Linked DNA regions of Drosophila melanogaster. The gene in region 2 interacts genetically with the main gene of each other region. Each region holds a gene or a part of one and is shown on either strand. Other genes may lie near its edges.

Evidence for each region.
Region 1: of Ork1 (region 2) and Ih, changing one suppresses a phenotype caused by changing the other (phenotypic suppression), as found in Drosophila melanogaster (one study listed by BioGRID).

What each region holds. Positions count from the first base shown.
Region 1 is NT_033778.4:14,274,111-14,279,337, reverse strand, and holds the start of Ih (I[[h]] channel), read right to left. Parts: upstream 3,209-5,227; 5' UTR 2,812-3,208; exon of another isoform or gene 2,058-2,811; 5' UTR 1-2,057. Other genes in the region: conv (convoluted), read right to left, coding at 4,466-4,859, 4,922-5,227.
Region 2 is NC_004354.4:10,887,618-10,892,856, forward strand, and holds the start of Ork1 (open rectifier K[+] channel 1), read right to left. Parts: upstream 3,204-5,239; 5' UTR 2,715-3,203; intron 1-2,714. UniProt on the Drosophila melanogaster protein: Background potassium channel. Rectification is dependent on external potassium concentration. Acts as an outwardly rectifying channel but as external potassium levels increase, this is reversed.

The DNA.
Region 1 (5,227 bases), on a different chromosome or scaffold from region 2:
ATCGTGGCTCAGTATGTGTGTATGTGTATTGTAGTTGTAGTGGTAGTTGGGTGTGCAGGTATGGGTGCAACTTCCGCTTCGATTTTTGGCATTAACTAATACAAGTCCAGCGCACACGGACACGTAAACAAAAATTAATTGCTTTTCGTTGTGTTACTCTCTTTCTTCTTTATTCGGGCTGTCTCACTCGCACATGGGGCTGTTCGCCGTTATCCGTGTTTTAAGGTTTTAGGTTTTAGGTTAGGTTAGGTTTTCGATTCGTTTTTGGTGGGTTCATAGGTGTTTGGTTGAGTAACGTAGGTTGGGTGAGAAGGTATCGGTATCTAAAAGGTGGCCTCTAAAATAGTCAACAGCACTGTTTATATTGCTTATGGTTCTTCACTTTTCGTTTTGTTTCGTTATGCGCTCGTTTTCGTTTCTTTGAGGTTATGTGACTCTATGACACTATCTGTTTGAGTTGCGTGTATAATAATACCATATGTTACTATTTATAGTTTAGCTTTTGTTTGAGTTTTAGTTTCGTACTTTGTACTCTGGATTATAAATGACGTTTATCCACTAGGGTATAGTTATTGTTGCTATTCGGTTGGTGGTTGCTGGTGTACAGATGTGATGGTGGGGCCTGGAACTGGAGCTGGTACTGTAACGATAACGATAACGGTAACGGTAACTGGAGCTGAAGTGGGGTGGGCAGGATCGGGATCCGAAATGTGGATCACTGAATAATTTATCACAAATAACAAACTAGCTGTTGGAGGGGATGGGACAGTGATGATGACAGCTCAGTTTCCTTGCTCCGAAATGTATGCTATCCCGCCTGGCCTTCCAACCTGGCTTCTGGCCACGCCTCTCCTCCACCTCCTCCTCCCTGCTTAAGTTAATGTTTGGTCATGAAAGTTTAACGAACGCACCGCAGTTTTGGCTTTGCGGTCGCCCTTTATTTTCTGTTTTTTTTTCACTTTTGTGGCAAATGGAAGCGACGCGAGTTAAGGCGGAGTTACGTCAAGGCAGCGCAACACGAGAAACCCAAAGCAGGTAGCTTTAATTCGTCCTGTACGTTCGTATCACTCCTCCTCTGCGAGTCCACGGATTACGGCTCTGGGCGTATTTGTGTATCTGACACGAGCAACACGCAAAGGATCCGGACCCGGCAACAGTCCCTCCTTGGGACTCCGTGTGGCGACGTCCTTCGTCACCCAATTAATGCATTAATATCGCCCTCGTTACTTATTCAGATGCAATTTGAAAGGCCTAGGTCGAGGGCGGGGATCCAGTTTTGCATTAGCGGCATTATAAAAATAAATCCATATAGGTAGATGTACAGACTGGCGCTTTTCGTCTAATCGCTACGGCTAAGTATCTTGTATATATCTCGTAGGTGTATAAATATATATATAGGTATATATATTGTATATAGAGAGGCAACTACTTGGTAGTTTTAGTTAGTCGATAAGTGCGTTTATGTTGCGGTTATTTGAATTTGCTGTCCTACAGGCTGAGACGCAGGTCTCTCTACAAACTACGAGGTTAGTTCCATTACACTATCTCAACGGGGATTACGCTCTATATCCTTGGGCTGTATCGATAACTTCCAGCGGTGAACAAACGTCAACGAACTACTTTAATTTATTTGCTTTTTTGCGTTGTTTTTACTGCGGATAGCGTTTATCGTTTATCTATAGCACTTTTGTATATAGCGAGTGTCTTTTTGTATATTTCTAAAAGTAATTCTAATCTTGGGCTTGCTTGTCTGGGTTACGCCTTTAAGATTTGCTCAATTTCATTGTTGCAGGTACTTTGGTTTTGGTTTTATCATTACGTTCTATTTTTGGTTATCGCGTGTCCTTTATTTTTAGGCGTTTCCAGGGTTTTTCCACTTGCTGACTGACTCTGGCGTTGATTAAATAATGCTGCACTTTGCGCTGATTTATCGTGTTTGCTTTCGTGTCCTTGTTTTCGCTGGTTTCCGCTTTTGTTGCTCGTGTTTTTTTTTTTATTTATTTATTCGTGTTTGTCTCTTGTCTTTTTATATTTCCTTATTTTTTTTGCCAGTCGTTCTATTTGATTATGTAATTATGCTTGGTTTCTTATTGGATATTGAACGGTACGTGTGTCCTAGGGCTATGTATGGGCGTGTTTGTGTGTGTGTGGTGTACGGTTGTGTTGGTGTGTTACATGCGATTTTTTCAGCTGCTGCGGCTGTGTTTGTCGTGGTTTCGTTGGATTCGTGGGTTGCGATAGACGTAAGTGGTTCGTCATCAACATTTTTCGCACATACATACACGATTCACGGGCGCCACACGGGGCATTGCGTCTGTGCGTGTGTGCGTGCGTGTGCCAGTGTGTGTGAGCGTGTGTCCTGGTAGATGGAATTTATTGAATGAAACGTCAAGCGATTTGACGAATTTTAAACAAATTATTTATAACACACAGAGACACAGGAGGCACGCACACGCAAATATTGCGAGAGAGGCACGCACAGACACAGTTCACAGTCGTGGCACGAAGAACGGCACAGGACACACAGGACACACGGTGGGTGGCACTGGTAGTGGTGGTGGTGGTGGCGTGGGTGGTGGGAGAACAACAAGGAGGAGCCGACGAAGAGAAAGCCAAGAGGAGTGGAGCTGAAAGTGGGAGGAAGTGCACACGTTAAATCAATGCTTCTTTTGACCTCTATTACAATTTCGTTCGCTTTCGTCTTTCGCCATCTTTCCTCCTCCCTCCTACTGCTCCTTCTCCTCCAATAGCTTGCTCCACCTCGTCCTCGCCCCTTTGGAACTTCTCTTTTTTTCCCGAGCCCACGACTACCTGGTAATTTTTTCAACGCCCGTGTTACGGCACATTTAATATTTCATATTTTCATATATGTTGGGCTCTATACACCAGATACACAGTCGCTGGCTCACCAAATGCACATTATTTCATTACTTTTCCTTGATTTCGTTTTGATTTCACTTGGCTATTTTAATTTATTTTTTATTGGGTCGCGCTGGCTCCTTTCGTTTAAATGTTTATCACAATGCTGCTTTCGCTGAATGCTGATTTATGCCATTCGCCACCGAGCAGCGCACTTAAACTTGCTATTTGAAATTTCTTCTTTATGTAACGAACGGAATAACGGCACACTCGCTGCTGCTGCTGCGACTGCTACTGCTGCTGCGACTGCTGCTGCTGCTGCGACACGAACGAACTCAGCGCGACAAGTGAAACTTGGCTTCCCGATTCGCATGCCACTGACGTGCGCCGTGGTAACAGAAACAGAAGCAGAAACGGCCGAGCCGAGCCCGCGAGATTCGCTGAAAATCGATAAGGACAGGCAAAGTCGCCTGCCAAAATCCTAAGGAGGAGGCGGCGGGGGCAGGAGGACCAGGATGGCAAAGGCGAACGGCACAAAAGCACATTCTTCTGCGGCCAAAGTGAAACCGAGAGCATGTGGGTGGCGCGCGGCAGTGAAAGTGCACATGTCCTTAGTGTCTCGTGTCCTGCGGCACAGTGGAGGTTCGGTCGAATTGATAGGTCCTTTGGATGCTCCTTCAATATCTCCTGGAAGCTATCGAATAAGGTAGGGTGTAATACACACATGTATTGATCAGAAATTACCTCAGTAATAAAATCCAAAAATTAAAAACAATCTTAATTGCTGTACCTTTACATTAAATTTGTGTTGTATATATTTAAGAAATAATAAAGCTTTAAAAACATTGCTAACGTATGTATATTTCCCCCCTGGTAATAAATTAAATATATTCAGAACAGGAAACTGTAGAGCCAAATAACAAAAACAATAGCATAATTCTAGGAGCATGCCGATACTGTAGCTGTGCAAACAATTTCGACCGCCAGTGTGCTACTCGCATGCCTTTTCGGTTGAGAGCGCGAGTGCGCATTTGCCAGGCTCTCAGGCGAGTCCTTTCACTCGCTCGCAGTCCTTTTGTCCGCTCCCGCTGCACAAACAGGAGCCGAGTCCGAGTTGAGAATGAATCGCCGCGCCGAAGAGCACTTCGGATTACAGCCTTTGTGTTTTCGCCCTGAATGAAAGTCAGCCAGCCTGGGCCATCAGCCATCAGCTGGCCCGTTGGGTTGGCTGTGGGCTCCAACGCTTTCTGAATTGCGCTGCCCACGCGAGGCGGCGTCCAAGTAAACAAATACATGTGCGCACGGCTGTGATAATAGGGCGTCGCGCACATGTTCAGCTGTAAGGTCAGAGCACAGCGTGTCCTTACAGTGAGCCATGGCCACAGCGACACACACTAGCAAACGGCCAACAATGGGATCAAAGATCAAGGACAATCTGATCTCTTTTCAAGATTCATTTTATCACATCGATACGAACTTAAAACGATTTTTACATACATAAAGTGCACAATTTGTAACTTGAAGACAATCAGTATTACAATCATTTTCGAGTATAGTTATCTACTTATTAAGAAAATAATCTTGGTGCACAGTTTTCCCATGCTAACTACAATCTGGCAACAAACAAAACGAGTATTATATACAAAAGGCAACGAGGTAGGCTGCTGGAGGTCCGGGAAACGCCACCGCGGACCTGAAAGTTTCCGAAGAAGAAAGTCCGGGGCCGCTTCAGCGAAGGTAGCTGCTGGCACTGCCCGGAGAACCACTTGCGCGTATTTCCATCGCTATCCCGGGATACTATACATATCTCAGCGCCTCGAAGTTTCTCTTCTCCCAGCGTCGATAGCTCTTCCACCGGGATTTGGGCAGTACGATTGTTATAGGCATAGTCCGACTGGTGAAGCACATCGTTGCTACTGCTTCGGATATAAACGTGGAAGTCTGAGACGTCTGAAAAGCCGGAGACATACCAGCATAGGGTCAACATGCCCGCTTTGTTGCTATTTGAAAAATGTACAAGGATTATAAGTTACTTTAAGTTCAAACTGCAAAATATGCATACGTTTTCACTTCTCGGAATCGGACATCTGTAAGCTGTTCATAGTCAATGCCCTTATACATCTCCTGCTCATCCTCGGCGCAGTGCAGATACTCATCGTCCAAAGATATAAGCTGCTTGTCCTTGATCAAAGCCGGCGTTCCGCAGTAAATACTCTTCAAATCCTCTCCAGCTATCGTTTGCTGCAGCATAAAGTATTTCAACGGTCGTGCATTGCATCCGCAGTGCAGAGGATTTCCGGCCAGAAGTACTTGGCTACCATTACGCATGCTGCCCACTATCGAAGCGGGCACATCCTCCAGACTATTG
Region 2 (5,239 bases):
GGGGTAGTTCCTGTGGACTTTACGCGCGTGGAATCCCCCGCCAATTCACGTGAATCAACTAATCGAGCTATACTACTATGCTTCCTTCAGTTGCTTTGGTCTTTCGATACCTTCCTTAGGTGGGGGTTGGTTCTATGGGCTCTATTGGTTCTATTTTCAACGCTGATCTACTATCGCCGCGTATCGGTAAAGTCTTCTCATTACACGCTTGATTACATTGGGACAATTCGAATTGTTTATTCCCGTTGTTCAAGTCAAGTGATCGCTGATAACGATTCTACGCTACGCTGCCTTTTGTTCTGCAACAGTTTTAATTATTATTATCGCTTCTTACTGTATAATTTCTATTAAATTATCTATGGAGTAGTCTTGTGTTTTTTTCTGTTTATTTATTTTTTTTGTTTTTTTCGCTACATGATGGCTATTTGGCTATTGCCTGTATTCCCGCTGGCAACTAAAAAGCAACTACGGCGACTACAATAATTTGTTAACAATAAAATAAAAAGTCGTCTATTGGGCTCGTTCCTCGAGCACTGACTGGCTGGCGATGACGCCGTTCAATGGAAGTCTTTTCATTTATTGTGTTTCCTTTTTTTTTTATGTTTTTATTTATTCCGAACAAACATTTCGATGACGCTGTGTGTTCCCAAACGCGATCTTTTTAACGCTTTTTTTTCCTCCCTTTTTTGTTTCTTTTTTTTTTGGGCTTGCCCTCTTGGAATTCTTTTGGAGTGGAAAATTCTGCCAAAAAGTTTGCGGAAATAACTGATAATCGAATCGGGTTAACAGTAAATTAGGATCGTTATTTCATAAAATACCAAATATGGCAGAAGGTTAATATTAATCCCAAAAGTGTATAGGCTTGCTCATAACTTTCACGAGACCCGTGGAAATTTCGCAGACAAACACCCCCACTCACAACTCACAACACACCCGTCGTAAAGCCATAAAATGGAGCCACTCTTTATCGAACCGAACCCAAGACGAACCCAAATAAAACCCTGATAATCATGTTCGATGATCATGTAAATGAATTAAGTCAATGTTTGACGTCAAGTGGTGTAGACAACAGAACATTTAATATGACAATAAAAGCATTTACTAATTGATAGCCCACATACTCCAGTTCATGGTGATCGTTGGGTATTTTTGGATAGATCGCCGAAGGATCGCTAGATCACTATCACAACGATCCAGGGGCACGTGCATCCCCAGAGTATTAAAAATTAAAAATCGAGAACGGAGAATTGAGAACTGAGAAGCCCGTGTTACGTGCAGAATTGGCGGGGAAGTCGTACGGACTACGGTCGTATATTATGTGAAACAAAATTAATAAATAACAAAATATTTACATATACCGACGCTAAATAGTCGTATAATCAATAATAAATAGCAGCAACTGCAAAATGAACACGTTTAGTAAATAATCGCAAAAGTCGTCAAGCGTCAAAAGCCGTGCTGTGCTTTTCTTTCGTTATTTTTCTTTTTTTTTTTTTTCTTTTCCAATTTTCAATTCTTCCCGGAGAAAGATGAGTAAAAATCTAGGGCGGGATGAGAGGGGTGTCGAATAAGGCACAGAATCGCAAGCATTGTGTCCGGAGTCTGAAAAATCTGGGTGGAAATACCAGGCGGGCCTGATGAGCCTATTGGGTGCTAATGATGACATTGTTTTACAAGCCGGCGCGGCAAGATGATTAATTGAATTGCGATCTATCAATGTCTCGTTTCCTCCGTCAGTCTCGTCATCGTCTTAGTTGGTGCTTCTGGTTTTCCTTCCTTTGATAAGACTACGTCAGAGCTTCGAGCTATACACGGCAATTAAAGGCGACAGTTATGTGTCCATAACTGCATAAAAGATTGGATAGAATTCTTAATTTTTAGCTTGCAAATCTTGAAACTATAATAATGACTTTCTATCGTTTTGTGTTTGTCTGCAAGTGATATAGTTTTTGTGATATACATATATGTATTTTTTTAACTTTGAAAATTGTTATTAATTTTAAACATTACGATTAATTTTGGAAATATTTCACTAACATGGATTTAGTATTTAATATCATTCCTATACATGTATTGCCGATTGGCCTTTATCCAGCAACCGAGTTAACAGAGTTACCAACTAACTGAACTGATTGACGAACCGAACGGATCTATAGTTTGGGCCATATTTGCTTATAACCAAATGCCCCATGATGGATGATGTTGGCCTAACATTCTTGAGCCCTCTGCCAATCGGACTGATCGATAACAGATACATAACTGGTTGCCGTTATTTGCGCTGACTACTGCTAACGGTACATTCGTAGCGGGCGTACGTAAAACGTTTTTGCATATGGTAACAACAGTTAAGCAAACACTTTTGCACTGTGAAACAATTTCGTTAATTAAATGCATTCATACTACAGATACCGTTTCGGAGGTGCGGCACTGATTGATTTACCGGATTTTGACAAAACACTCTAAAAAAAACAAAACCTATCCGAGTTAAACAGAATGTTTAAGATTAATGTCATTAAAGGTTCTTGTGTGATAGTATCATTGAGTTTGGCTAAGATTTCTGATATGTAAGAAAAAGACTATTTTTGTAAATGTAGAATCGAACTTAATTTTTTAAGAGATGCACATGGACTTTTTCCGCGAGTGTAGACAGCGCGTCTGAAGTGGGGCGCACATGCGAATCCGATCGTTTAGATTGGGCCCAGAAGAACTCTAACCTGTGCACTATATGTAATCGTTTCGATTCCGGGCGTGCAATGGATCGCGCTCTTGCTCCTCTCTTCGTGGCCCACTCAGATAACGCCGTGCAAGGTGACCACGGGAACCACACCAAAAATTAATGACAGTCACACGGATGGAAGAGATTTGTAGGTTGGGTGGCTTGGCGATAATGTGTGTTGTTTACAAGTGCACTGATATTAAATTGAATTCCTTCTGGTATTCCTTCTTTTTCATTTATTTGCAATTATTCTTTCCGTTCCATTCCGATCCTCTTAACTTTTATGCTTCACTTTCAGGATACCCACGATCAAAAATTGTTGAAAAAAAAAATAAACACTCGCAGGAACCGTTGGCTTTCGCCTTTCGCTGTGTGGTTTGTAGTTTTGACTTATTATTTTTTTTTTCTTTTAAAGAGAATCGCGAAACACTGAAGACTGAGCTAAAAAAAAAATATACACTCGCGGCGATCGCGTCGCAGGACCGTTACCGTTACCGGTGCTCGCTGAATTTGATGTGAAAAATGGAAGGTTGACACTTTTTGTTAACGGTGACGATCGCTCCGTCGCTTCTCGATTCCCGTAACCGTTCTGATTTAAATGGAACGCTCTGCTCCAAGCTCACGTCGGTTTCCAGTCTCTGCCGGCGTAGGCGTAGGCGTCGACGTCGCTGCCCGCTAACCGCTATTTCGGTTTCTTTTTCGCTTTTCCGTTTCGTTTTCGACAATTTCCAGCCGAGCTTTAAACTTAAAGTCGCCTTCTCTCTCCGCCCGTTTCCCGTTTTTCCGGAAGGAGCTTCACCGTTACATTACTACCAATTGGTTACTTCAAAACGAGCTCTCCTCGGAGTCCGGTACTTAAATTATAAAAAGAAATCAGAGCGAAGAGCTCAAAAGCGCACGGCAAGCGAACAAGCGGCATTAATACAATTCAACCAGCTCCTTTAACTGCCGATCGGTGAGTTAGTTCACTTATAGATGTGTATGTATGGGGTTGTGTGCACTGTACGTGTGATCTCTAATCCAGTGCTCACTCACATTGAGCTCTTCGCTCATAAAACAAGAACAAGACTGTTGGGAATCACTCAAAGAGGTGTGTGAGTGGCTTTTTTTTCGAGTGTGCGGGTGGGGGAGCCCCACCCCCAGCCCTGAACTAACTAAACGGAACTGAACTAAACTAAATCAAGTTGAAATGCCGATCGACAAACGGCAACTACGAAATTTGCCAGCAGTGCTCAGCCCACTAACTGCCTGCCCCCAACCTCTCCCTCCACCTCCACCCAACACCACCCCCCCCCCCCCTCAAACCAACCAAAATCGATCGTCGCAAAAAAGAGATACTGTGTAGTAACCAACGGAATATGGGTTTAGTACAGTGGAGCAAATCGTCGCCAGGATTGAACAACACATCTCAAGATCTTAATGAAAATTAGATTATGTTAAACTTAATATATTAATAAAATTCTTAATTGTTATATAATTCTATAAAACTTTCTGAGCTCCCTATTCCATCCTATGAATCATTGAATATAACAATAAAAATATATTTTTCGATTGATAACATTTCAACAACATTTCCTATAAGCCATAAAATTCGACCCTGACATGCCCATTTAATTAACGTCAAAAACTCGATTTTATACAACCCAATTTAGTAAAAGATATCTACGGTTAAGAAAATGTGCACTCATTGGGTATTTCTTGTTACAGTAATCTTTATTGCAAATGGTTTGATTTTAAGGAAAACGTTTATTGTATCTAAATGGTTAAACCTAAGGATAGGATAGATAGATAGATAGATAGGTGGGAAGGATATTCATATATTGAAAACTAACTAAATCATCTTGATCAAAGACACTATTTCTTATTGCTATTGTGTGCTTCGGATGTGAGGATCACTTCTCACGGCCCACTGTGTGCTCTGTTTTTGCTGATCAGCTTGACCAGCGACCTTTTTTAGAATCTACGGAGCATGGGCCACATCCCCACCCAAAATTGGGCGCATAAAAACCTTACCCATGGCGCCAACGCCATCGCCACTGCCACGCCCACCGACGAACCGTCAAGCCCAAAAAAAAAAAAAACACACACCTAAACGTGCGTTGTCAAAAAAAAAAGAAACAACCGAAGCAACCACAATCACAATCGCAACCAACGTAAATAATTTGTCTACGGATTTTAGTGCTTTACGACGGGCACTAGCCGAGCGCAAACTTAAATCGTCAAACGGCAGACGAGCCACCCCAATAGACCGATCCACACCCACCCGCTGAACCAGCGAGCCACCAAAACAATCACCTGGTAGCACGTTACTACCCACCATCATCCCACCTTGATCTTGGGGCTCAAACCACCTGATTCTGCCATCGTGGAAAGTATTCACTGTCAATGCCATTGTCAATAAAGAAGAACCCCCGTCGATCGGCATTGATGGTTAAAGGGAATTTGATTTCTAGGTACCCATAGATATGTTCAGTAATACCATGTTCAAGATCACTTGAGTTGAGTGGTAAGCATAGGTTTTTG